5 linked regions of the Daphnia pulex genome follow. The protein of the gene in region 1 interacts with the protein of each later gene in a biochemical or structural test. Links are inferred from orthologs where the notes say so. Each region holds a gene or a part of one and is shown in the gene's direction. Other genes may lie near its edges.

What was found.
Region 2: the proteins of DNA repair protein RAD51 homolog A-like (region 1) and small ubiquitin-related modifier-like form a complex in vitro, tested with the Homo sapiens proteins (2 studies listed by BioGRID and IntAct). The link is inferred for Daphnia pulex from reciprocal best matches to the Homo sapiens genes RAD51 and SUMO1.
Region 3: the proteins of DNA repair protein RAD51 homolog A-like (region 1) and replication protein A 70 kDa DNA-binding subunit-like form a complex in vitro, tested with the Homo sapiens proteins (2 studies listed by BioGRID). The link is inferred for Daphnia pulex from reciprocal best matches to the Homo sapiens genes RAD51 and RPA1.
Region 4: the proteins of DNA repair protein RAD51 homolog A-like (region 1) and F-box DNA helicase 1-like form a complex in vitro, tested with the Homo sapiens proteins (2 studies listed by BioGRID, with this or other methods). The link is inferred for Daphnia pulex from reciprocal best matches to the Homo sapiens genes RAD51 and FBH1.
Region 5: the proteins of DNA repair protein RAD51 homolog A-like (region 1) and 26S proteasome complex subunit SEM1-like form a complex in vitro, tested with the Homo sapiens proteins (2 studies listed by BioGRID). The link is inferred for Daphnia pulex from reciprocal best matches to the Homo sapiens genes RAD51 and SEM1.

The regions. Positions count from the first base shown.
Region 1 is NC_060026.1:14,857,481-14,862,493, forward strand, and holds DNA repair protein RAD51 homolog A-like, read left to right. Parts: upstream 1-1,835; 5' UTR 1,836-2,351; coding exon 2,352-2,444; intron 2,445-2,543; coding exon 2,544-2,681; intron 2,682-2,747; coding exon 2,748-2,957; intron 2,958-3,024; coding exon 3,025-3,275; intron 3,276-3,345; coding exon 3,346-3,433; intron 3,434-3,510; coding exon 3,511-3,632; intron 3,633-3,697; coding exon 3,698-3,821; 3' UTR 3,822-4,133; downstream 4,134-5,013. Other genes in the region: protein maelstrom homolog, read right to left, coding at 1-100, 177-264, 338-529, 598-867, 934-1,073, 1,138-1,284, 1,343-1,544, 1,622-1,762.
Region 2 is NC_060017.1:276,732-280,284, reverse strand, and holds small ubiquitin-related modifier-like, read left to right. Parts: upstream 1-1,909; 5' UTR 1,910-2,062; coding exon 2,063-2,071; intron 2,072-2,280; coding exon 2,281-2,421; intron 2,422-2,482; coding exon 2,483-2,554; intron 2,555-2,629; coding exon 2,630-2,689; 3' UTR 2,690-2,837; downstream 2,838-3,553. Other genes in the region: putative leucine-rich repeat-containing protein DDB_G0290503, read left to right, coding at 1-63; serine protease inhibitor dipetalogastin-like, read left to right, coding at 2,989-3,013, 3,070-3,198, 3,268-3,420, 3,482-3,553. UniProt on the Homo sapiens protein: Ubiquitin-like protein that can be covalently attached to proteins as a monomer or a lysine-linked polymer.
Region 3 is NC_060017.1:3,019,027-3,023,832, reverse strand, and holds replication protein A 70 kDa DNA-binding subunit-like, read left to right. Parts: upstream 1-1,427; 5' UTR 1,428-1,551; coding exon 1,552-1,596; intron 1,597-1,658; coding exon 1,659-1,709; intron 1,710-1,773; coding exon 1,774-2,028; intron 2,029-2,098; coding exon 2,099-2,313; intron 2,314-2,375; coding exon 2,376-2,538; intron 2,539-2,600; coding exon 2,601-2,705; intron 2,706-2,771; coding exon 2,772-2,871; intron 2,872-2,955; coding exon 2,956-3,068; intron 3,069-3,135; coding exon 3,136-3,270; intron 3,271-3,330; coding exon 3,331-3,594; intron 3,595-3,652; coding exon 3,653-3,736; intron 3,737-3,798; coding exon 3,799-3,868; intron 3,869-3,936; coding exon 3,937-4,061; intron 4,062-4,125; coding exon 4,126-4,233; 3' UTR 4,234-4,413; downstream 4,414-4,806. Other genes in the region: ankyrin repeat and MYND domain-containing protein 2-like, read right to left, coding at 1-417, 504-643, 712-877, 941-1,123; ubiquitin-conjugating enzyme E2 L3, read right to left, coding at 4,628-4,806. UniProt on the Homo sapiens protein: As part of the heterotrimeric replication protein A complex (RPA/RP-A), binds and stabilizes single-stranded DNA intermediates that form during DNA replication or upon DNA stress.
Region 4 is NC_060017.1:4,720,313-4,725,313, reverse strand, and holds the start of F-box DNA helicase 1-like, read left to right. Parts: upstream 1-1,960; 5' UTR 1,961-2,072; coding exon 2,073-2,192; intron 2,193-2,286; coding exon 2,287-2,414; intron 2,415-2,470; coding exon 2,471-2,687; intron 2,688-2,755; coding exon 2,756-2,829; intron 2,830-2,897; coding exon 2,898-3,063; intron 3,064-3,136; coding exon 3,137-3,598; intron 3,599-3,675; coding exon 3,676-3,928; intron 3,929-3,996; coding exon 3,997-4,055; intron 4,056-4,113; coding exon 4,114-4,386; intron 4,387-4,449; coding exon 4,450-4,507; intron 4,508-4,568; coding exon 4,569-4,763; intron 4,764-4,827; coding exon 4,828-5,001. UniProt on the Homo sapiens protein: 3'-5' DNA helicase and substrate-recognition component of the SCF(FBH1) E3 ubiquitin ligase complex that plays a key role in response to stalled/damaged replication forks.
Region 5 is NC_060028.1:1,556,086-1,559,560, reverse strand, and holds 26S proteasome complex subunit SEM1-like, read left to right. Parts: upstream 1-1,994; 5' UTR 1,995-2,107; coding exon 2,108-2,213; intron 2,214-2,316; coding exon 2,317-2,413; intron 2,414-2,485; coding exon 2,486-2,525; 3' UTR 2,526-2,604; downstream 2,605-3,475. Other genes in the region: uncharacterized protein LOC124209262, read left to right, coding at 3,265-3,365, 3,436-3,475. UniProt on the Homo sapiens protein: Component of the 26S proteasome, a multiprotein complex involved in the ATP-dependent degradation of ubiquitinated proteins.

The DNA.
Region 1 (5,013 bases):
ATTGCTCGCGATCGACCTGGCGATTGAGTGGCGGACGAAACAGGGCCCATCGATCCGCCCAAAACGCCACGCCCTGTTCCAGGACCCTTGAAATTGGCAGCTAGAGTGAACGGGTAAAGGAAATATCTCTGAACATGGCCATTTATAGATGCAACAACAATTAAAAATTGATTTACTGGCAGGAGTGTTGGGCAATCGTGGTGGACCGGATGGTTCTCTGTCATCTTCCTCCTCCTCCTTCTTCTTCTTCACTTCAACCGGTGCCTAAAGGGCCGGAAAGATCACACATTAGCCTTTCCTTTCAACTCTCATGCAAATTTTCATGGGATGAAATTACCTCCGGTTCTTCCGTTTCAGTCACTTTGGGCATTACGACATATTTGTTGTCATCAGCAATTTCAGAAGGGCAGTGGCGATTAGGCAGCAGAGACAAGTCATAGTACTCGCAGCACAAGTCGGAAATCGTGTAGGCGTAGTTGCGCACCCGCGTTAGCGAACAAAACGTTACATTGTCTTCTTCCACATGCCACTGTGCAATGACGTAATTCAAATTATTTTAGGTCAAAGGGATTATTATTAGCCATTGGAAATTTATACCTGGCAGGCCATATTTTTGCTGTAGAAAAACATTCCTTTGCCAAAGTGTTCGGCCACTAGCGCAATGCTGGAAAATTTCAACGTCGAATTGTTCACGTCGGCCTGGCGACGCAACTCGTAAAAGAGTTTGTTCAAACTGTAGATCTTGAACGGGCTGCACGTCTCGTACGAATCGTCCAGTTGGCAACTCTTTTTGACTAACCAGTCCACTATATAAATCGCTTTCGCGTTGTCTTCGTCGACCACGAATAAAGGAGCAATCCCGCCATCCTAGGATTATGTAAATTTTTGTTAATAAAATTATTTACTAAACTCCTTAATTAAAGGGAAGTTTACTGGTTGTTTGAGCATTTCCTTGATGTTATTCGTAATGTTAACATAATCTGAATTGGCTAGTTTGAATCCAAATGTTGGGATATTGTGTGTGTTTTCAGAGTGTAGCTTGGCTTCGTGGGCATACCCCAGTCGGATTTGACCTGTGAATTCATAAAACAATGGTGTAAAGCTTGATACCCAAGTAAATTTGGTAGATGAAAATACCAGGTTCTACAAAGTCATGGTAACACTTAGCTATCCCATCCAGAAGCGAAAACTTCACTATAGCGATTTCACATGGAGGGTACTCTCCCTCACTGGTAGCGACAGCAATGTTGAAATGTGCCAGATAAAAGTAGTGATTCTCGAGAGCTAGAAATTGTAAATATTGAATGTGACGGGAAAAAGGCATTTTCGGATGAAAGCGTACTTCCTTGAGTAGCAAAGTATGAAATCATATCTTCTACTTTCTGCAGAAGATGGTCTTTTTCCGATATTTTCTTTTGCTCTTCTTTTTCCTTCCAATTTAATGGAACTCCCCGAGTATCACATCTTTCTTCTTTGATAAAAGTAGTACCACCACCATCTTTAGCTTTTTTATGGTAGCTTGCCTTTTCTTCAGGTGACAATTTCTGTGAATTTAATTAAGTTTCACTTTCATTAATATTAATGTTAACAGAATGACGTATTAACAACACAAATTCCTTACATTCCATAACGGAGAGCACACCGGAATAACGTCAGTCAAGCCTCTAGGAAACTTATGTCCCTTGGCTTCTAATTGTGGTTTCATAGATTTCATGAATACCATGAAACCATTATCTTTTTTTTGTTTCTTCTTCGGGGGCATTTCACTTATTTAAAAAACGAATATGTAATGTGGGAATTAGTCGAATATTAGTCGAAAGTCGAGTCGTCAAGAGTTCAGCCGCGAAAAAGTAGATGCTCTCCCATCAGGTTTCCCGCCTGACCTACCAGGTATTCTGCTCTGGGATTCTGACGTAAGCGCTTTATTTTAACCCCGCAATCACCAATTAGATTTAAAGATTATAAAACTAAATCATGTTAAATAATAAAACATAAAATAATTTTTTATTTTAAAATTTTAATCAAGTATATTCCTCTTCCATATATTACCAGATATTACAAAAATGGGAAAACTTTTTGTCCATTAGCACGCTCATTTGAAACAAATCTGGCAAGGTTGATTTTTAAATACAGGCACTATTTGTTTTTGCCGCTCGAATGTTTCGTTGTGTGAACGTTTCACATGTGATCACTTCGTTTTGATAGCTGAGACTGATTGAAACTGAAACTCTTCCGAAACTGATTAATTGAGTCGAGAAGCTGAATCACACAATTGTTTTTCATTGACATATTCTGCTTTGCAACAGTGATTTCTTTAATCATTAGCTTATCATAAGCTATTAATCAGTACGATGGCTACTGCACTTCGAAATCTTAATGAAGAAGAAGAAAATGTCGTCGAAGCTCTCGAACAAACTGTTTTTTCAGCAATCAGTAAACTTGAAGTAAGAATGTTGAAACAACAGACACTCAATTTATAAATGCAAACTCATTGTTTAATTAGTAAACACATAACAATTCATTTCAATTTTCAATACTTCCAGGGCAATGGAATTAGTGGTGCAGATATCAAGAAACTGCAAGAAGCGGGGTATCACACAGTTGAATCAGTAGCCTATGTCCCTAAAAAGACACTCATGACCATCAAAGGAGTCAGCGAGGCCAAGGCTGATAAAATCATTGTAAAAAAATATTTCATGTAATTATCCATTAGCTCTTGTTAATGTTTCCATCCTCACAACTCTCAGGCCGAAGCTCAAAAAATGGTTCCCATGGGTTTTTCTACTGCCACAGAGTATCATCAAAAGCGTGCAGAGCTCGTTCAGGTTACTACAGGATCCAAAGAGCTTGACAAATTGCTTGGGGGTGGCATAGAAACAGGGAGTATCACAGAAATATTTGGAGAGTTTCGTACTGGAAAAACTCAATTGTGCCTAACTCTTGCAGTCACCTGTCAAGTAATAGATATTTCAGAAGTTCACCAATTCAAATTCTAATAAGTTTTTATCCATTTTAACTTTTTAGTTGCCCATTGACAGTGGAGGAGCTGAAGGAAAGTGCTTGTACATCGACACTGAAGGAACCTTTCGTCCGGAGCGTTTGTTGGCTGTAGCTGAACGATATGGCTTATCTGGCTCAGATGTTTTGGATAATGTAGCTTGCGCCAGAGCTTTCAATACTGATCACCAGTCACAGCTTCTGATCCAAGCCTCTGCCATGATGGCCGATTCTCGTTACGCTCTTCTCATTGTCGATTCCGCCACAGCTCTTTACAGGTAATCCTCAAAAGGATCTTTCTTTCTTCAAAGACATGTATGGCATGCAAACATTCTTTTATCTTCCTAGGACCGACTACTCGGGAAGAGGAGAACTTTCCGCTCGCCAAATGCATCTCGCTCGTTTTTTGCGCATGCTCCTTCGACTTGCAGATGAAGTACGTGTATACTAGACGTCGTAAATAACCATTCAAATTTTCTTAAATCACATTTGGTTTTTTATGTGTTTTTAAAGTTTGGCGTGGCAGTGGTTATAACCAATCAAGTAGTTGCTCAAGTCGATGGTGCTGCAATGTTCGCCGCTGACCCAAAGAAACCCATCGGTGGAAACATCATGGCTCACGCGTCTACTACTCGGTAAGTTTTCACTTGTTGTTATTTGCATCCCTTTGCCCTGACAGTAACAACTTTCCTTTCTGTAGACTTTACTTGCGCAAAGGTCGTGGAGAAACCCGAATTTGCAAAATCTACGACTCACCCTGCTTGCCAGAGTCTGAAGCCATGTTCGCAATTTTGCCCGATGGCATTGGAGACAGCAAAGAGTAAACTGCCACAGAAGGGACCGTCCTCCGCTACAGGTTATTACCCCCTTTCTTGTAAACCCTTTTATGAATTCTCCGTTTTTAGTTGTTTAAAAAGTTTCGATTCACCATCGCCCCAGAAATATGAATTTGTCTTGTGTTTATAAGTAGGTGGGAAATCGAAAAAAAACGTCAGTGTACATGTAACTGTATGGTTTACTTGTAACTTTAAAATATCTTACGCAATCTACCCTGTTCGCATTCTGTTCAACATTGTTCTGAGATTATCAGTGGCAATTACTGCTTGAATTTGAATACAAATATTTTTTTTTCTCAATTTAGGACTTATTTCTTGTAGGAATTAGCCCGTAACAGATTTAAAACGGCAATCGGTCGTATTTGAACGAATTAAATTTTATAGTAGACGCGCAGATAATATTCAAACTCGACTGTTTCTTAAACTAGCATATTGGGGTCAGTCTGTTTTAGAAAATCAATGGCAAGACTTGCTGACTTTTCACTTGTAACCTCGACATGACATTCAAGTGCGACGTGCGCAGTTTTGACGAAATGTTTACAACGCTGGCGAGTGGCGACGGAAGATAAAATTCATATCAAACCACAGTATCAAAGACTCGTGAGTATCATTTTCGAACATGTATTTATGTTTGGATTTTCCCATCATTTTAAAATATTTAAAAGAAATAGAATAAAATAAAACTGCCACTTTAAATTGGCCATCTCTAACCGACTGAGGAAAAGAGTGGAGAATGCTGTGGGCCGTTTGTTTTTAAAAATAGGCCGGCGAATTGTGCGACAAGATCAAACTGCTATCGAAAATGCAGCGCTGGGCGGTTGGTGAGTATCGGATCAAAGAACGTTCTGTACAAAATTGATTTAAATTTAAAATGTGTGAGCGCTTGAGATTAATCTAAAGTTACTGAATGTAATATTTTATACATTTTATATTTGTATATTTTATTGGTGTTGGTATATTATCTTGTTTGAAAGAATCGAGAATCATCTGTTTGTATACTCGGAGTATGTTCTGTTTATAAAACCTTGGCGGGAATATTGGATGACATTTCTGATTTATCAAAGTCTACACGACGCTGGACTTCGAAATCGGGAACCCGACACACTTGCTTACGCAATGTCGAAAATTTGGAAAAACCCATTCCAATGAATCTGCCTAATTTTGCTGTATGAATACGCAG
Region 2 (3,553 bases), on another chromosome or scaffold:
CAAGAGGACGTCACCGTTATCACGCGGAAAGAGAATATTAATAACGACAGCGACGAGAATTGAAATTGAATTGCTCATTCGTGACTGAGCTGTAGACAATAGCATTGAGCTTCTTTGCAAAATTGAGAACAGTAGACATTCGTAGACTTAACTCTAGTTTAATTTTTATGTAGTCACAACTTTCATTTCGGACGAAACACATAAAATATAAGTACAGTGCTCATTGAGTAGAATCAACCCCACTCTATTAGCCAAAGTAGATTCTCATCGTACGCAACCAAATAAATTACCGCCAAGTTTTTAAAATCCTATCAATCAAACAATACAAAAAATACGGTCTGTATTCGTTCCTGCGGCGAACGAAGATTAATTGAATTCCACGCCACATGTCTCACATAATAAGTTGCTCCTGCTGCGTGTGTCAACTGGATAATGCACCTTCTGCCTCCGTTCTATTTTTTTCTCATTCAAATGTGAATTGTACACTCGTTGCCAAAACAAATAATACATTAGATACACATTTGTATATGAATCACACGGCTAATACTTGAATCAATATGACACATGTTTCGTATCTTTTTTGACAATTTGACAATCGTGTGGCTTAGTGAGTTGTACTTTTTTCCTCTCTAGTTCTATATTGCATTATAGCATGGATGAAGTCAATACAGGAAACGAACAAGTTTTGACAAAGATTGATTGGCTTCCTCGTCTGACTGTTGTTCAACTACCGAAGGATCAGTGCAATGCTTAAAAAATATTTCTGTAAAGAAGAGGCATCATCTTGTATAATAAAATTTATCTTGTTGTAATAAAACCCCCAAACCGTCTCAAAGGTAAGGTTTTATTTCATACTAAAGCGCAATAATCTAGAACAAAATAATTTGTACAACAACGCATTAATAGCTATATGGAATTAATTAATAAAAATGGCAATAAATTCGACTCCTAAAATGAAAATGACGCTGTTGGAAATTTTTCGTTGGGTTAGCAACAAGTTTGACTACTAAAAAAAATTGCTCGAATTCCAGTGGAAGGTTTACAGAATCAAACCAAAATTTAACATTCATTCAAAAATATCTAATAAAATAGTCTTCTATAATTTCGGTTTGCTGTACTCCATAAGACACAACTTGTCAGTAAGCAAGAAATTTTCTTAAAATTCCCCTGGAATAGGATGCTATTGGTCGATTAATACTGGTGTGTCGCTCATTCAAAAGAACGAAGTCAGCAAACAGAAAAAAATCCGACGATGCGAAACTGTAACTGTAACAACACAAATTATTTACTACCTACAGATGTCGCAACAATGTTCCTTTTTTTATTACGACAGCATTATCAATTCGTACAGGGAAAACCAGCAGTCGTCCCGCCATTTAATAATTCAAGTCATCAACTCACCAAATTCGATTCTAGTTTGCTAACTGATTATTGGAGTAACTCGTTTCTATGCTGCGGTTGGCATTTACAATCTCAGCAAAAATTTTTATGGAGTGAGTGCTATGGACGTAGTGACGGCTGTAAACCTATTAATTCATGAAACATTAATATGATGTATGATTATCAAATTAAATTAAGGGACATCAACTGCACGCACACGTTGCTAATAATCATCCATAACGATTGCTAACTGTGTAATAATTGCTTAAGCAGCCAAAATGTAGTCGAAGAAGATCTCAATTTATATTTTTATTGAATCAAGCCATTGGATATCATCAGTCTTAATTTTAAATATTATCAATCCCAAATTACATATTGTGCAATTGTTTCAAGCAAAATATTCTTCAAAGCAGCAAAAAATTTAAAAAAAATCCTACAAATTTTATTAATATATTCCAATTTATTTAAAAAAAGTTTTTTAATTTAAAAAAATGTACTCATTTCATACGTGGCCGGCCGTTGTTAAAATAAGTTTTTAGTGCAGTGCCGGCATCCAGACGTATATAGCTGGTGCGGCAACGTTTATTCTCGGCGCTTTTTTGGCCCACGCCATTATTCATTATTCTTCAATAGAGTCGTCTCAAACGTGCTGCTAGTTTTAGAAAAAGAACTTGTTTTAACCATGGCTGATGTAAGCACGTAACTATCTATGTTACTTTTTAAGTATTGCTAAATTTACCCCATTCGTTTCTTTTTCCATAAAATTTGTTTTCACGTGTTGTCTTTGCTGGATAGTCGATTTTTTTTTAGTTCTGATCATGTGTTCGATATTTTAACTGTTTGCCTTTGCATTACCCTATACCAATTTGGCTAACTGTGGTTTCTATTTTTAATATACAGGATCAGAAACCTGATGCCGGTGATGCAGGATCAGAGTACATCAAATTGAAAGTTGTTGGCCAGGATTCAAATGAAATTCACTTTCGAGTAAAGATGACGACACAGATGGGCAAACTCAAGAAGTCTTATAGTGAAAGAGTGGTAAGGGTTTTTCCTGTCATTTTTTTTTTCACTTATTGATAAAGATTTTCTTTGTGTTCAGGGTGTGCCAGTTACTTCGCTGAGGTTTTTGTTTGATGGAAGGCGAATTAATGATGATGAAACCCCTAAACAGGTATGTTGTGTCTAATGCACTTAGCTGATGTGTTAAATGATATGCAAGTAATGAATTTCTGTACTGCTGTTCTAGTTGGAAATGGAGAATGATGATGTCATTGAGGTTTATCAGGAACAAACTGGTGGCAATTAATTTAAGAACCTCGATGCATTCATGGAAAACTTTCCACATTTTCTGGACAAAACTGTCTTTTAATTTCCAATGTTGTCATCAAAATATCGCCCTGCTTTCTGTTCTTCATTTCCAATCGAATAAATAAAACCATTTTCGTAACCGAGAATGATCCTTTCGTTAACTTATGGGCACTCTGCCACTTGTTTCTATCAACTTGTATTGCTATGAATATTGACATCAAAGTTCAAGGATGAAAGGTCTTGACTTCCATTTCTTGCTTTTGATCGCAAAGTGCGTACAAACCTTTTCGAGAGAGGATGCATTGCACAACGCTGTTGCTTGGTAAAAATAAATTGTCAATCAAGAATTTATAATATACTTTATTTTGTGTTGTTCAGTTGTACTAGTAGTAGGTGCAACAAGTTGTAAAATTCCCAAAAGTTATAAACCACTTTGTGGGGTTAACGGGATTTCCTACACGAATCTGAAGGCTTTACAGTGCCATAATAAGGCTAGCCCTGGAAACAGTAGGCTATTTGAAATATTCTTTTTTAGGAAATGGTTCCATCCGTGTTGAATTTGTTTGGTTTTCTCAGTGATTCGAATAGCTTATAAAGGACGCTGTCTTCGACCTGATATTCGTGAATGTAACTATTCTTCAGTCGTGAAAAATGTCTGCGGCAACGACGGGCTTACCTATCTGAATCCCGCAATGGTTGCATGCAAGAACAAATTACAGCCTAAAAAACGTATATTTTTATATCATACATAATTAAACGATGCACAGTTGATATTTTTATGACATTTTAGAGGTGAAGATTATTAGCAAGGGCAAATGTAAAAGTAAAACAAACGCTCGAAGAAGAAAAGTGCCAAATAAAA
Region 3 (4,806 bases), on another chromosome or scaffold:
GGAAGTGAGAAGATTGAGAGCTAGTGGAGTCTCCTCTTTTGTCTTGGACAGATTGACCAGCAACTGGCGGAAGATGGTCGTCTCCTTGAAAGGGAAAGTGCGGATCGACTCGCGGATGAAGTTGTCCATAAACTCGGGAAAACCATCGGATTGACGTTGCTTCAAAAATGCTTTAACATATTGATTTAATAACTCCAAAACGGTTTTGTCGGGGTGCTGCTGCTGCTCTTTGGCCATTCTTTCGACTAGGAAACGCAAATAGTGGTATTTAAGTGCGAGGATCTCGTTGACTTCTTGGCTGCGCTTCATCTGATTTTCGCTAAGTATCTCCAAGACGTTTTTCACTTTTGTGAGGTTATCGTAAAGCAAAGGAAGTTTTTGAATAGTCAACAAAAGGTGAACTGGATGCAGATTGACCTGATAAATCAAACAAAACAAAAAGTTCAAGTGCTTTTCCGTGGCAGAATAAGAAATGAAGTGATGTGTCTATTCAAGTGCACAACCTGCATCACAAATTTGTGCAAAGCTGGTGCAGCAGCTGGTGGCAATTTTGGCTCAGTTTGATCGCTAGGAGCTACAGTGTACTGCTCTATTTCTGAGCGTGGAATGAAATTGTTGATGATGGAAACAACTGTGTGATTCCCTGGTTTGCCAAAATAATTCATTTTAGTTTTGGATGATTTGTACAAACATTATGATTGACTAGCCTACCTACAAATGCAGCCATTTGAGCTGCAGTTCTGCCTACTGAGTTAACCACATCAGGTTTACAACCACACTGAAGTAATTGTTGACAAATATCCAAATTTCCAGACAGAGCTGCAAAATGAAGGGAAGTATACTTGTGTTCATGATGACCTCCATTGGCATCAGCTCCCTTCGAGAAAAAAAGTCAACTTTTCAATCAAATTAACAACATTGATAATATAGTTAGACTTACCAGGTCAAGGAGCAACTGGCAAATATCTTTTTTCCCTTTAAAAGCGGCATGTTGCAGTAATGTCATTCCATGCTCATCCTCATCGTCAATTTCAACGTCCCGGGATTTTATAAGTTCTTGCAAACCACTAGTATCATTGTTGTTAATCTTGTCAATAGCTTTAATAAAGTTTTCCGAAATCATTTTTCGAGATTCTTTGGCAATTAACTCGTTTTTGAAGGAAATCAAATAATTCAGTCACAAATTTTCATATAACGATATAGTTTCCGTTGTCGTCTGCAACTGTTGCTATAACAACCGGACATTTCGAAAAACAAAAAATCCAACAACGCCAAAAATGCGAATAAAACGAAAACTTATTTTTGCTTCGTATGAACCTTTATTTCAGAAAAAAAACTTTTTCATTATTTTTCTTCTTTATATTTTTAGTGGTCTTCATTGAGTTAAAAAGTTTCTTAAACATTCAACGCTGCACGTTCAGCCTTGGTTTCGTTTGTACCACTGTTGTTTTCCCGCCATCGCACTTCGTCGTCTTGTCCGTAAAAACTGCTTAAAAAAATTCAAGCACGTTGACTGAACGAAGTAATCCCCGTTAAAAAAGGTTCCGTAAAATGAACAGAAGAAATCACCCAGCACTAACCAGCGGCGCAATTCCGGTAATATCAATCATAATTTCGAATTTTTGAATAAAACTATAAATATCTTTATTTCGACATAGTCCATCATTGGGAATGGCCTGCACAATGAAACTCCAATTCTACAAGTTTTGGTAAGCAACGAGCAAGATTTTTTCTTCATTTGCAGCATTTTTACATTTTCTTCTCTTACAATAGGGTTACAAAAATCTTCAGGGAGACAATAATGACCGTTACAGAATTCTCATCTCTGATGGAAAGTATTCCTATGCATATGGAATGTTGGCAACACAACTAAATCATCTGATTGTGGATGGTCAGCTTGAGAACTTTACCATCATTAGAGTAAAAAAGTTTGTTGTTAACAAAGTTGCTACTAAGGCAACTGCAGGCAAGGACCAAAAGAAAATTATCATTCTTTTGGATGTTGAGCCAATTGTGCCTGGAAGTGAAGTATGTTCACTTTACTTAGTTTCGAAATACAAATAAGGATATCTCTTCATTTTGAACATTTTTTGTTTAGGTTGGAGAAAAAATAGGAAACCCTCAGACTCTTAATGATGTTGGAGAGGTTACTGAAGAGGCAGCAGCAAAACCTGCACCTTTAGGAAATGTGAACAATTACAATATGGGATCGAAGTCTGCACCACCTAACAAAACTGGTGGATATGGACAGCCAACAGAGAAGTCTGACATTATTACCCATCCGATTGTAAGCCTTACACCCTACCAAAACAAGTATGTTTGTTGAGAAATTTCAGTACAAGAAAAATTGAATCATTAACTTTGCTTGTTTGTAGGTGGACTGTAAAAGTGAGAATTATAAACAAGTCCGATATCCGTACGTGGAGCAATTCTCGAGGTGAAGGAAAGCTTTTCTCGATGGACATGGTGGATGAGACTGGTGAAATCCGTGCCACTGCATTCAATGCCGAGTGTGACAAGTTTTACCACATGATTGAGGTACATTTAATTCAAAAACAGTGTTTGAAGTTATTTATTTACATTGTTATTTTTCGTTGTAGATCGGCAAGATCTTTTACATTTCACAAGCACAACTGAAGGCAGCAAACAAACAGTACAGCAGTATGAGGAACGATTATGAAATGTCGTTCAACCAAAATACTACAGTATGAATGTTTTTCAATCGTCAATCGTACCAGCCTCAATTTTTTTTTCTTTTACTTATTTTTTAGGTAATTCCTTGCCACGATGATACATCAGATATCCCATCAATCTCCTTCAACTTTGTTCCCATTGATCAGCTACCTAGCCTGGACAAGGACAGTGTTATTGGTAAGTTGTCTTTTAGGTGCATTAACATTACAATTCTTCTATTTGAATGGTGCCTACGATATGACCGATTGACCGTGCTTTCAGATGTCATTGGTGTGGTTAAGTCAGCAAATGACGTCCGCGTTATCGTTTCCAAAACGACAAATAAAGAATTGAGGATGCGAGAAGTTCAGATGGTGGACAGTACCAACACAGAGGTATGACTGGATTCTTCGTTTAATTGTCGAGCCCAGTTAATTAATCATTCTTGTCTTCAAACATCAGGTTAATTTGACTTTATGGGGAAAAATGGGCGAGGAATTTGACGCTAGCTCCCAGCCTGTTGTAGCATTAAAAGGAGTGAAACTTTCTGATTTTGGAGGTCGTTCTCTAGGAACAGTCTCGTCTACTGTCGTGCAGGTAAAATCAAATGTAAGACTTTCTATTTCTCTACTATTCTACAGCGCATATTTTTAATAGATCAATCCTGACATGAATGAAGCTCACAAACTAAGAGGGTGGTACGATAACGGTGGCTCATCATCGGCCGCTTCTAGCATTTCGGCGAGTCGTGGCGCTGGCACTGGTGGTAGTGGTGGGTCGTATAAGACTTTCGCTGAAGCAAAATTCGAAAACCTGGGAAAAGATAAACCTGATTTCTACAGTGTTAAGGCTATGGTTGCTATGATCAACAAAGAAAGAGCGTTGTACATGGCTTGTCCCAGTGATGAATGCAACAAAAAGGTAAACATAAATATATAATAAAACAACTCATTTTTGACAATATTTGCGTTTCCCGCAGGTCATCGATCAAAACAATGGCCTCTATCGATGTGAGAAATGCCAGCGCGAATTCCAGGAATTCAAATGGCGCATGATGCTTTCGGTATGACAAAGATATTTTATGAAATCTATTTCTCTCAAAACAGCACTCGAAATTTGTTATAGGTCAATATCGCGGATGCCACGGACCAGCAATGGGTAACCTGCTTCCAAGAAACCGCTGAAACTCTTCTTGGTAATTTTGTTTTCGAACTAATGTTACGTTTAGCATATAATATTTATTTATTTGATTATAAATTTTAGGGAAATCCGCAGACGAGGTCGGTAGATTGAAGGATTCGGATAATAACGAATTTCAGAAAATTTTCGAAGAAGCTACTTTTAAGTGGTATGTCTTCCGCCTGAGAGTGAAAATGGAGACGTACAATGTAAGTCTATGAGCATTATGAATTTCGATCTTGTTATCTGTTGACGCTTTTACCTTTTCTTTAGGATGAAAGCCGCCTCAAAACAAATGTCTATGAAGTGAAGGAAATCAACTATAAAGAGCACAACGAGCGATTGATTCGAGAAATGAAAGAAATGGCTGCATCAGAATGAATGGATTTTCCCTTGCTCCTTATCTATTAAACTTATAAAAAACCTTCATTTTCGGATTATACAGGAACAATTCTTTATGAATTCCTGTTCTTGTGAATCAAATCGAGATCCCGGAAAAACCGTGTGTGTAACATGATAATAAATGATTTGCAAAATAAACATGGATATTACAAAAAATAATTTTTCAGACAACTGCAAATGTATTGTTTTTCGCAGCTCATGTGCAATGAAATATTTCAACCATCAAGAGAGGCAAAGATAGAAATGAAAATAAATGAAGATCACAGTGCAGCTCTCACTGCTCTACAATGAAGTGAAGAGGGAAAGAGGGGGGACCAGTTCAAAATTTTAACTCTGCCTCTTCTCAAGTGTTTATGATGAAAACAGAAAACATTTAATCACTTGGTCTCTTCTCACTGTTTTTTTTTGTAAACTCTTCTGCATTCTTCATGAATTTCTTTTTGTCTTTGGAATACTCTTCAGCAAGATCAGCCCTAAGTGGATGTTCAGGCTCTGGATCATTAACCAAGGCAACCAGCGCTTGTATCACTTGATCAGTTTTGGTGGCAGGCT
Region 4 (5,001 bases), on another chromosome or scaffold:
AAGAATTGCAGAGAGTGAGGTAGTCGTCGCAACAGTCGCCGTACGTCTGACAGGATAGATTGCACTGGCAAGGCTTAGTGGAGTCGGTTCCGGACTGACCGCATCTTCCAGCGCAAGAGCCTGCCTTGTTCGATATCACTGATGCAAAAAAAAAAAAAAAAAAAATCAGATTAATTGTTAATTTTTCAATTTCAATGTCGCTAATTTTCCGATGATAATTTACGTTCGCGGAAGCTGTTGCTGGATTTGGCTTCAACCAGCAGAGCGCAACTCATCAATCCACAGACGACAACAAATGGCAATGTCAATTTCATGGTGATTGTGATTGAATCTTGAAAATAATAATTGAAAAAAAACTATTAGCACATAAGAAATAAAGGTACAACAAATCTATGGGTCTACCTTGGTGCACAGGTACTGCTGTGAATATCTAATTGAATCGACCGTCAAGATATTTGGGTTTTATAGTCGTCCGCACATGATGCTTTGCTAAGAGCTAGAGGCGGGGTTATTTCAAATTTTATAGAAGATCGATTAACGAAACATGGTTTAGAGGTAAAGAATCTTGTTTGCCACCAACCTTTGACTTTGAAACGGATCAAGTATTCGACTCCAAATCACGGAGACTAATCTTGCGGGTTTTTTTGTTTTTAGAATTATCTCTCAAAAATGGATGCCGTTCTGTGGCCATCACCGGCCATCACGTTTTCGTGCACGTATTTTACATTTTGTGCAGCTATTATATTGATATTATCGCAAAGAGCGTAAGCCTAGAAATTTGAAATCTCGTAGACTCAATCAACTTATTTGTTTAGTAGACGAAGGTCAAAGAGTGAACGGCTCACCTCGATTGCGTCAATTGTGATGGCTCGTACGATGTGACGTCCACCATCTGTCAACCGAGTTCACTTACTATAATCTAGGCTAAATATCAAACTGTAAAGATCGAGTAACAAGGTACACAAATGGCTCCATTTTGAAGGCCTTGTACATATCGGCTCCCGTTACTACCGCATACGTCAATATTCACAATACGTTTAAAACAACAATACCTCTGAGAAGATAATGCTGAAGTAACATATTGCGTTTCTATTAGCTTTATGGATAACGACGTATCCTGGCACTATTATTTATGGGAGGTGTCGTTGGTACTTAAAAAAACAAATCATTCAAGCTGATTTCAGCGAAAGAGGAAATCACTAACGTGTGGATGAGAATGCCTTTTCATCTACTGCATTATTAAGTTTGTTGACCTTCCATACAAGAGTGCAACTCGTCCAATCTATGAAGTAATGCCCAGTCCAAAATCATTAAAAATAAACTTTGTAGTGTGGGAAATAAAATCAACCTTGCATGGAACTTTGCCGCCTTATTGTGATAAGTGTTACTTATTAAACCATCAAATAAGCTTGAAAGCTTACGACCAAATATTACGAAACAAGTGCCCTTGTGGCTAACCCAAGTGCCATCTACGCTGATATAATGGAATGGAAATTAGATCCTTAATTGGTCAGCTAGGTCTTTATCTAAGCCATATCAATCATATTAAACGTTACCCATCGCATCATCACGTGATTGTATCTAGTGTCTAGTTTGTCAGTTGGTTCAGTTTTTTCCGCTTCTGTAACTCTCCTGAATAAACAAAATGAAATAATGCATTTGTATGAACCTTTCTCTTTAATAATGCTGCCCAGCTGGGGAAAAAAGACGTTTGGAGAAGAATATTCAAAAATAAACTCTCTAAAAACCGACACAATCAGTTTCACTTTTTTGGGCTTTTATTTTTATTCGAGTTTATTTTTTTTATCTCATGAATCTATTTCAGTATTTCTATACTAATTGAATCAAAATGAAATTAGCTTTGATTGATTAATTAACTGGTTTTTTCTTGTTTGAGTTGGATATTTAAAAAAAACTTCATATTTTGGACGCTAGATGGACGCTAGATTGTGCTATTGTTTTGGTTGAAAAACGTAAATACAACGCACCGGACGCGTTTACGAGTCCGTCTACACGTTGAAATTGTAACTCTGGTTGTAGTTCTGTACAAAATAGTATTTTCGAATTTTGAAATGAATAATCTTCCTGTTCAAGTGCTTGAAAATATTTTGGCCCACATACCTGTTATAGATCTTCATAAGTCATGTGTGCTTGTGTGCCAAAATTGGAGGGAAATCATTTGTCGACAGAAGGTAGGGTAGTATATGGCCGATATGGCATTCATTTTTGTTTGAAACCACTCTTTAAACAATAGAACATTGACATACTTTTGTTCTCCTATTTCAGTTTATACCTTGGAAAAAACTTTATCTTTCATACAGCTTGAATGTTGAGGAATCTACTGCTTTCCTGGACCAACTCTGTGATTCATACAACATTACGGGAGTGCAAAACTGTCTCCGTGGTTTGATTTTGTAAGACATATTTACCAAAAGTTTTATATTGTTAAGTATAAATAACTCTGTTTTAGCTATTTTTTGGAGTTCACTGGGTCTCCTGTGAATACCATGAGGTATTTGAAAAGTCATACCCGCTTCAGTTTAGCTGAAAGATTAGTGGTTGAGCAGTATAAAACTACTTCACTCTGGGGGATTACTGCTATGATTTGCATCTTCTCAAATGATACATGGGAAATGTATAGATTGTTTGATTTATTGACGCATTCTGAAAGTGATTTCACGACAATGGTAAATTCAATCTTCCATCATTAATTTAACCTGTTTTGCCTCCTCTAACACATATTCCTTGCATATAGGAGGTAATGGAGAAATTTTACTGTTTATGCACTTTGTTTCTCTACTTCCACAGAAAGTTTGGAATTCCAGCTAAGTATGCATTCTTTAATGTGTATTTGTGCTTTGTTCTTATAATCACAAGTTATTTTACTTATCTCAAAGGTTGCATTATAATTTGATATATGCCCTCAACTTGTTTGAGAATCGCTGGACGGGTGCCCCTATTAGTCAAGTGTCAAACCAGTCATCAAGCCAGCAAAAGTCTTCACCTCCTCCATTGACACACGAACAATCGCGTATTGTAAATCATCGCATCCAAAAAGATGATGTAAATTGCTTAAATTAATTATAGAGATTTTCTAAAAATTAAAACTTTGAATTTCTTTTCATGTTTGTTTTAGTTAATCAAGATCGTGGCGTTTGCTGGAAGCGGGAAAACTACTACTTTGCTACGTTTTACCGAAAATAATCCAGAAACCGAATTTCTGCTTATTGTGTTCAATAGAGCAGTGTCCGATGAAGCCGGCGGAAAATTTCCGAAAAACGTAAAATGCACGACGATTCATAAGTTGGCTCGTAACCACATCATTGCTACTGGCTTGATGAAGAATAAAGAAACGGGTAACATTTTCCCAACGAGTTTAGTTAAAAGCCATATACTTGAAAAGGATCGGCGAGGACTAAAAAGATATCAACGAGAGAAACTGGTTCTTGACACCCTTAATCGGTTTTGGGGTTCGGCTGATGATACAATAACTCCTGAACATGCTCCCACCAAAATCAGAAGCAAATCGTCATCTGAAGATAATGCCACAGGAGAAAATGTTGTTGAAGACAGAATTCTGACCCTCGATGAACGACAGGTGAGATTCAGCTAATTAATCTCTGTTTATTGCTTCTCTAAAAAACACCTGTTATTCCATTAATTGCCTCTTTTTAGAAATTAGCGGCCGACGCCCAAAAAGTCTGGTCTGTCATTAAGAATCCAAACGATAGGCGTCTGAAATTGCCGTGTGATGCATTCCTCAAACTTTGGCAGTTGGAAAAACCGAATTTATTCGAAACTGAAAAAGTTCACTGTGTGATGGTGGATGAAGGCCAAGATTTGAACGGAGCCATGCTCGATATATTTCTCAGCAACATAGGCAAACGCATTATCGTCGGAGATCCACATCAGCAGATCTATCGTTGGCGTAAGAATAGCATAAACTCAACGTTTATTTATTTGAGGTTGCCTAATAAGTTTCTTTCTTCAATCCAGGATATGCCGTGAATGCACTGAATAAAGTCCCTGCTACCCACACGTTTTACTTGACTCAAGTAACTTCATGAAACAAATCTCTATAGCTATATTGTCTAACTTTTTTCTTCTTCTTAGTCATTCCGATTTGGACCAGAAATTGGTTTCATGGCCAACTCCTGTCTATCCGTCTTGAATAATGTCAATGATAAATGCTTGGTAGGCATTGATGTGCACGATGCACTGGTATCGCTCAGCGATGCCAATGATCAACTAAACCACCAACTGCAAACTAACGGCAAGATTTGCTACCTGGCTAGGACCAACCTGGCACTTTTCAAGAAAGTCGTGGAAGTTATTGGTTGTGAATTTGGTAGCAGTTCCCAGAAGCCTAAAATCGCTTTTGCCGGAGTAACATCAACTTATTTTCAAGTTTGTGAGATGTAAATAATGAAAGAAAATTTCATTTTTTAGGGAATTAAGAACATGGGATTGGACCTTATAATGGACGTTTATTATCTTTGGAGAGGAGGTAGTTTCAATCTTAAAAATGCTAAATTATGCTGAATGAATATCAAACTTATTTTTTGCAGCCTACGACAAAATTACCAGTCCCTTTCTACGTAATCGGAAGTTATTTGAAAACTTCACCAGTTTCACCAAATACGTAGAAGCCACGATGGACCACGAGTGGGGAGCGAGAATAGCTCAAGTGACCTGGGCGAAAAGTAAAACGGAGACGTATGTCGATGCGATTCGAAAATCTCATGTCTACATTTCCGATGCAGGTATGGAACACGTGAGCTTCCATTAATTGACGTCTTAACAAATGATTATTACTTTTTTTTTCAGATGTCGTTTTCTCTACCGCTCACAAATCCAAGGGAATGGAGTGGGATACGGTCGTTTTGCTAGACGACTTCATTCCAACTCTTGCTTATGGTGAAGTAAGCGGCGAAGAGCAGGAAGAGCGGAACTTGCTGTACGTGGCTGTCACGCGGGCAAAACGGAAACTGATAATCAATC
Region 5 (3,475 bases), on another chromosome or scaffold:
AGGATTATAGCCGCGTAGTTCGTTCTGTGTATAACCACGACGAGGACGAGGACTGAAAATGAGAAAGAGGGAAACTTGAGAAACTCCCTATTAGCTCCTCCCGTTTGGGCCACTGCGCACAGGTTACAGTGTACAAAAAATAGACAAAAAAAAAATGACAGAAAACCAGTTTGTCCTTATGCGTACCCATCCAGCCTACGAACGAGTTCCTTGAGCTGGCGGACTTGTTTGATATCCCATATAGAAGAAAGACATTGTCATCTATTATACCTATACCTGGTTTACCAAAAAAAGAAGTTTTTGGGCTGTCCTCGTTTTAATTTTCGAAATTTCAATTCATTAATCTATTTCAATGAAATACGTAGATGTTCGACGCAATTAAATGTATCAAATAAATTACCTATAGTAGTCCCTGTGGGCTTTTCCAAGCTTTCCCGTTGCATCAGTCACCCGCGCCAGGTCTTTACCGTTTAAGGTATTTTTGTGAAAGTCTATTATAACCGATTTATAATCTTGCTGAGTGAAGTTATTTTAAAATACCAATGTTTTCTTAGCGATTGACAGAATTGAAATTCTCATAGAATAAGTCGCCTGAACGCGTCTTCAAAGTGAAACCGGTGGCTTATAAAGCGAAATTATTCCGAATTTTAATTGTCAGTTTTCTACGAAAACAACGGTGAATGTTGGAAGTAGCGAGTTTGCAATTAGTTTGCTTTTGTAAGAGCGCGGTTCCATAAAGAAAAGAGGACCTTGTTAAGGGGACTTAAAAAACAACTTCAATGACAAATGATGTCAAACAGCAAACACACAGTTGAGAAGGAACTGGAACGGGCGAATCGGAGGAAACCGTGAAAGGTTTTTCAATCGAAAAGTTTTGAATTCCACGTAGAGCTGTGTCTATAAATTCATGAGAAAGACAACAGCTTATAAATAATTTAAAATTATTATTCCAAAGTTCATATCAGTGTACATACAAGGGATTACAAGCAGTCGATTAGTATTAAACCGTCGATTATAAGACGAAGGCCTATCATCCGATGTTCAAATGAAAATTCATAAATGGCGGACTAATGTCGTTGGATTTCCATTTTTCTAATATAGAATTGCGTACTTTTTTCTCTTACCTCGGGAATAACATAAAACAGTTTGATAGAAATGTAAATTCGGTGTGGTCAATCCAGTTGCTTGGGCCGAACCAAAATGAAAAAAAAAGAAGCTCAATTGTTAAAAGTCGACGGTTAGCAACAGCAGCCTAACCAACTTTTAACAGGCCGAAATGTAGGTTATTGGTCTTACATTAAGCAGCTATTCCTGTTGTCAACTGCATTACATCAGAAAATGTTTTATTCAGACTTATATGGCGTTAGATAACCAACCCTTCCTTACATCGGTATCCCATATATGCCCTTCTACTTTTATGTAATAACGGCTGGAATTCTAGAGTCGTCAGTCCAGAGGGGTCGTCTCAATTAGTTACGTACGTGAACTTGGAGGTCGATCCTGCTCAATACAATGAAATGCAGATGCAGAGGAACCTGCTATAAAATCAGAGATAACACCTCAATGTCCCTTTCCAAGGCCATTTCTTAGTCGCTTTTGAAACAGGTTCACAGAAATTTTACGTCATATCTAAAAATAAATGTTGGTTTCCTTTAGTTCCAAACAAAAAATTAATCGTGTGTAAACAATCAAATGGTGCACAACTAGGCATTATAATAAAGCAAAAGAATCTGTATAGAATCGTTTATCCTCATCGATATGCATGTGTGACCTACGTTACAAATAAGCTTATCCATTTAAAGTTCTTCTTATGACAATTCAAATTGAATTTGCGCAAATGAAGATAAGAGTTTCTAAATTTTATATTTATATTCCTTCCTTACTTTAAAATTCGCGGCAACGTTCGACTGGTTTTTCTGATGTTCACCGCCATCTGTGGTTAATATTATGTAACAAACCCAGCAGACGCCTTTTTGAAAACGCCAAGTCAGAAGTTACGATCAGTCAGCTTGAAGTCAGACTCAGAACCGTCAAGTTAGAAGCAGAACTTCAGTGAATCACTGTTAGTTGTTAAAAATCAAATCTATCTCTTAATAATAGTTCAGTCATGGCAGATGTGAAGATTGAAAAAACTGACTCCACCACCGAAAAGCCAAAAGTAGATTTAGGTCTGCTCGAGGAAGACGATGAATTCGAAGAGTTTCCGGCTGATGGTAACATTTCTTACTACCTAGCGAACTTGAAATTGCCTTTAAACTTAATTGCCTATACTTAAAATATATGTTCATAGTTACATGTACCCATTGAATATTGTAGATTGGACTGGCAAAGAAGAAGATGCTGACGATGTCAATGTCTGGGAAGACAACTGGGATGATGACAACGTTGAAGATGATTTCAGCCAGCAATTGAGGTTTGAATACTAGTAGAAATTATTAATGACTTAATTTGGCATAACCATAAAATCTTTTTATTTATTTCATAGGGCTGCTCTGGAGAAACAAGGCATTAAAATGGAACAGTGATCATTAAAATAACACACCCATTTTATTGTACCACTGTTCACTTAAAAATTGAATACAATACTGTCTCTTTTGTATTTAATTATCTTGGCATTTCTTTTAGAAATGTACTAGAATTGGATTTGCCAGTCAATTAGTTCCTTTTAAGTTATAATGGAATCCTTCCTAAATTTTTCTAATAAGTTTCTGATTGAAACCTGTCCCAGATAAAGTTGTTCCATCTGTCAATATCTTCCTTTAAAATGGGACTCCCCAGCATCATATTCCATACCAATGAACCATTCTTAAACCCAAATTTATTTTTTAATTATCAACAGTTTCACAACATTCAAAGCAGATTGGCCCTATCGCAGTCCTAACCGGAACCGCTAGGGTTCTGATTTATTTTTTAAAATTATTTTCATTTATTAATTTTAAAATTAACATTACCACAGATTCACAGATTTTATTCAATTCAGTAATTACTAGATTATATGATTATAACGTGGTCATTATGTCAAAAGTCAAATCTGTTCGATTGATTGTTTCGTAAGTTCGTTAACGATTAGTAGCTAGCAGACAGACATTGAAGTTTTATCCGTTTTCCTCACTAGACCAAGACGGCATTTGAAAAGTGTAAACAAACTGCCAAGGCCTAAATGGTTTCAATTTTTTTACGATAGCTAGAGAAAAAGGGTAAACAATTAACATAATATTATGGTGAATCAATCCAACATAAGTATATTTTAGTGTTAAAAGGACAATGGATGGGACTTGCATTGCAACTGCCAATGAACTCCAATCAGAAAATATGGATGATGATGGAAGGCCTAAAAGTACCAGTAGTGATACATCCATCCCACTGTAAGTTATATCTTTATGGCAATTTGCAGTAGACAGGGACTTCATTTAATTGTAACCATATTTTTTTTAGTGAAGATGATACCTTGGCGGACACTGTCAGTAATAAAAAA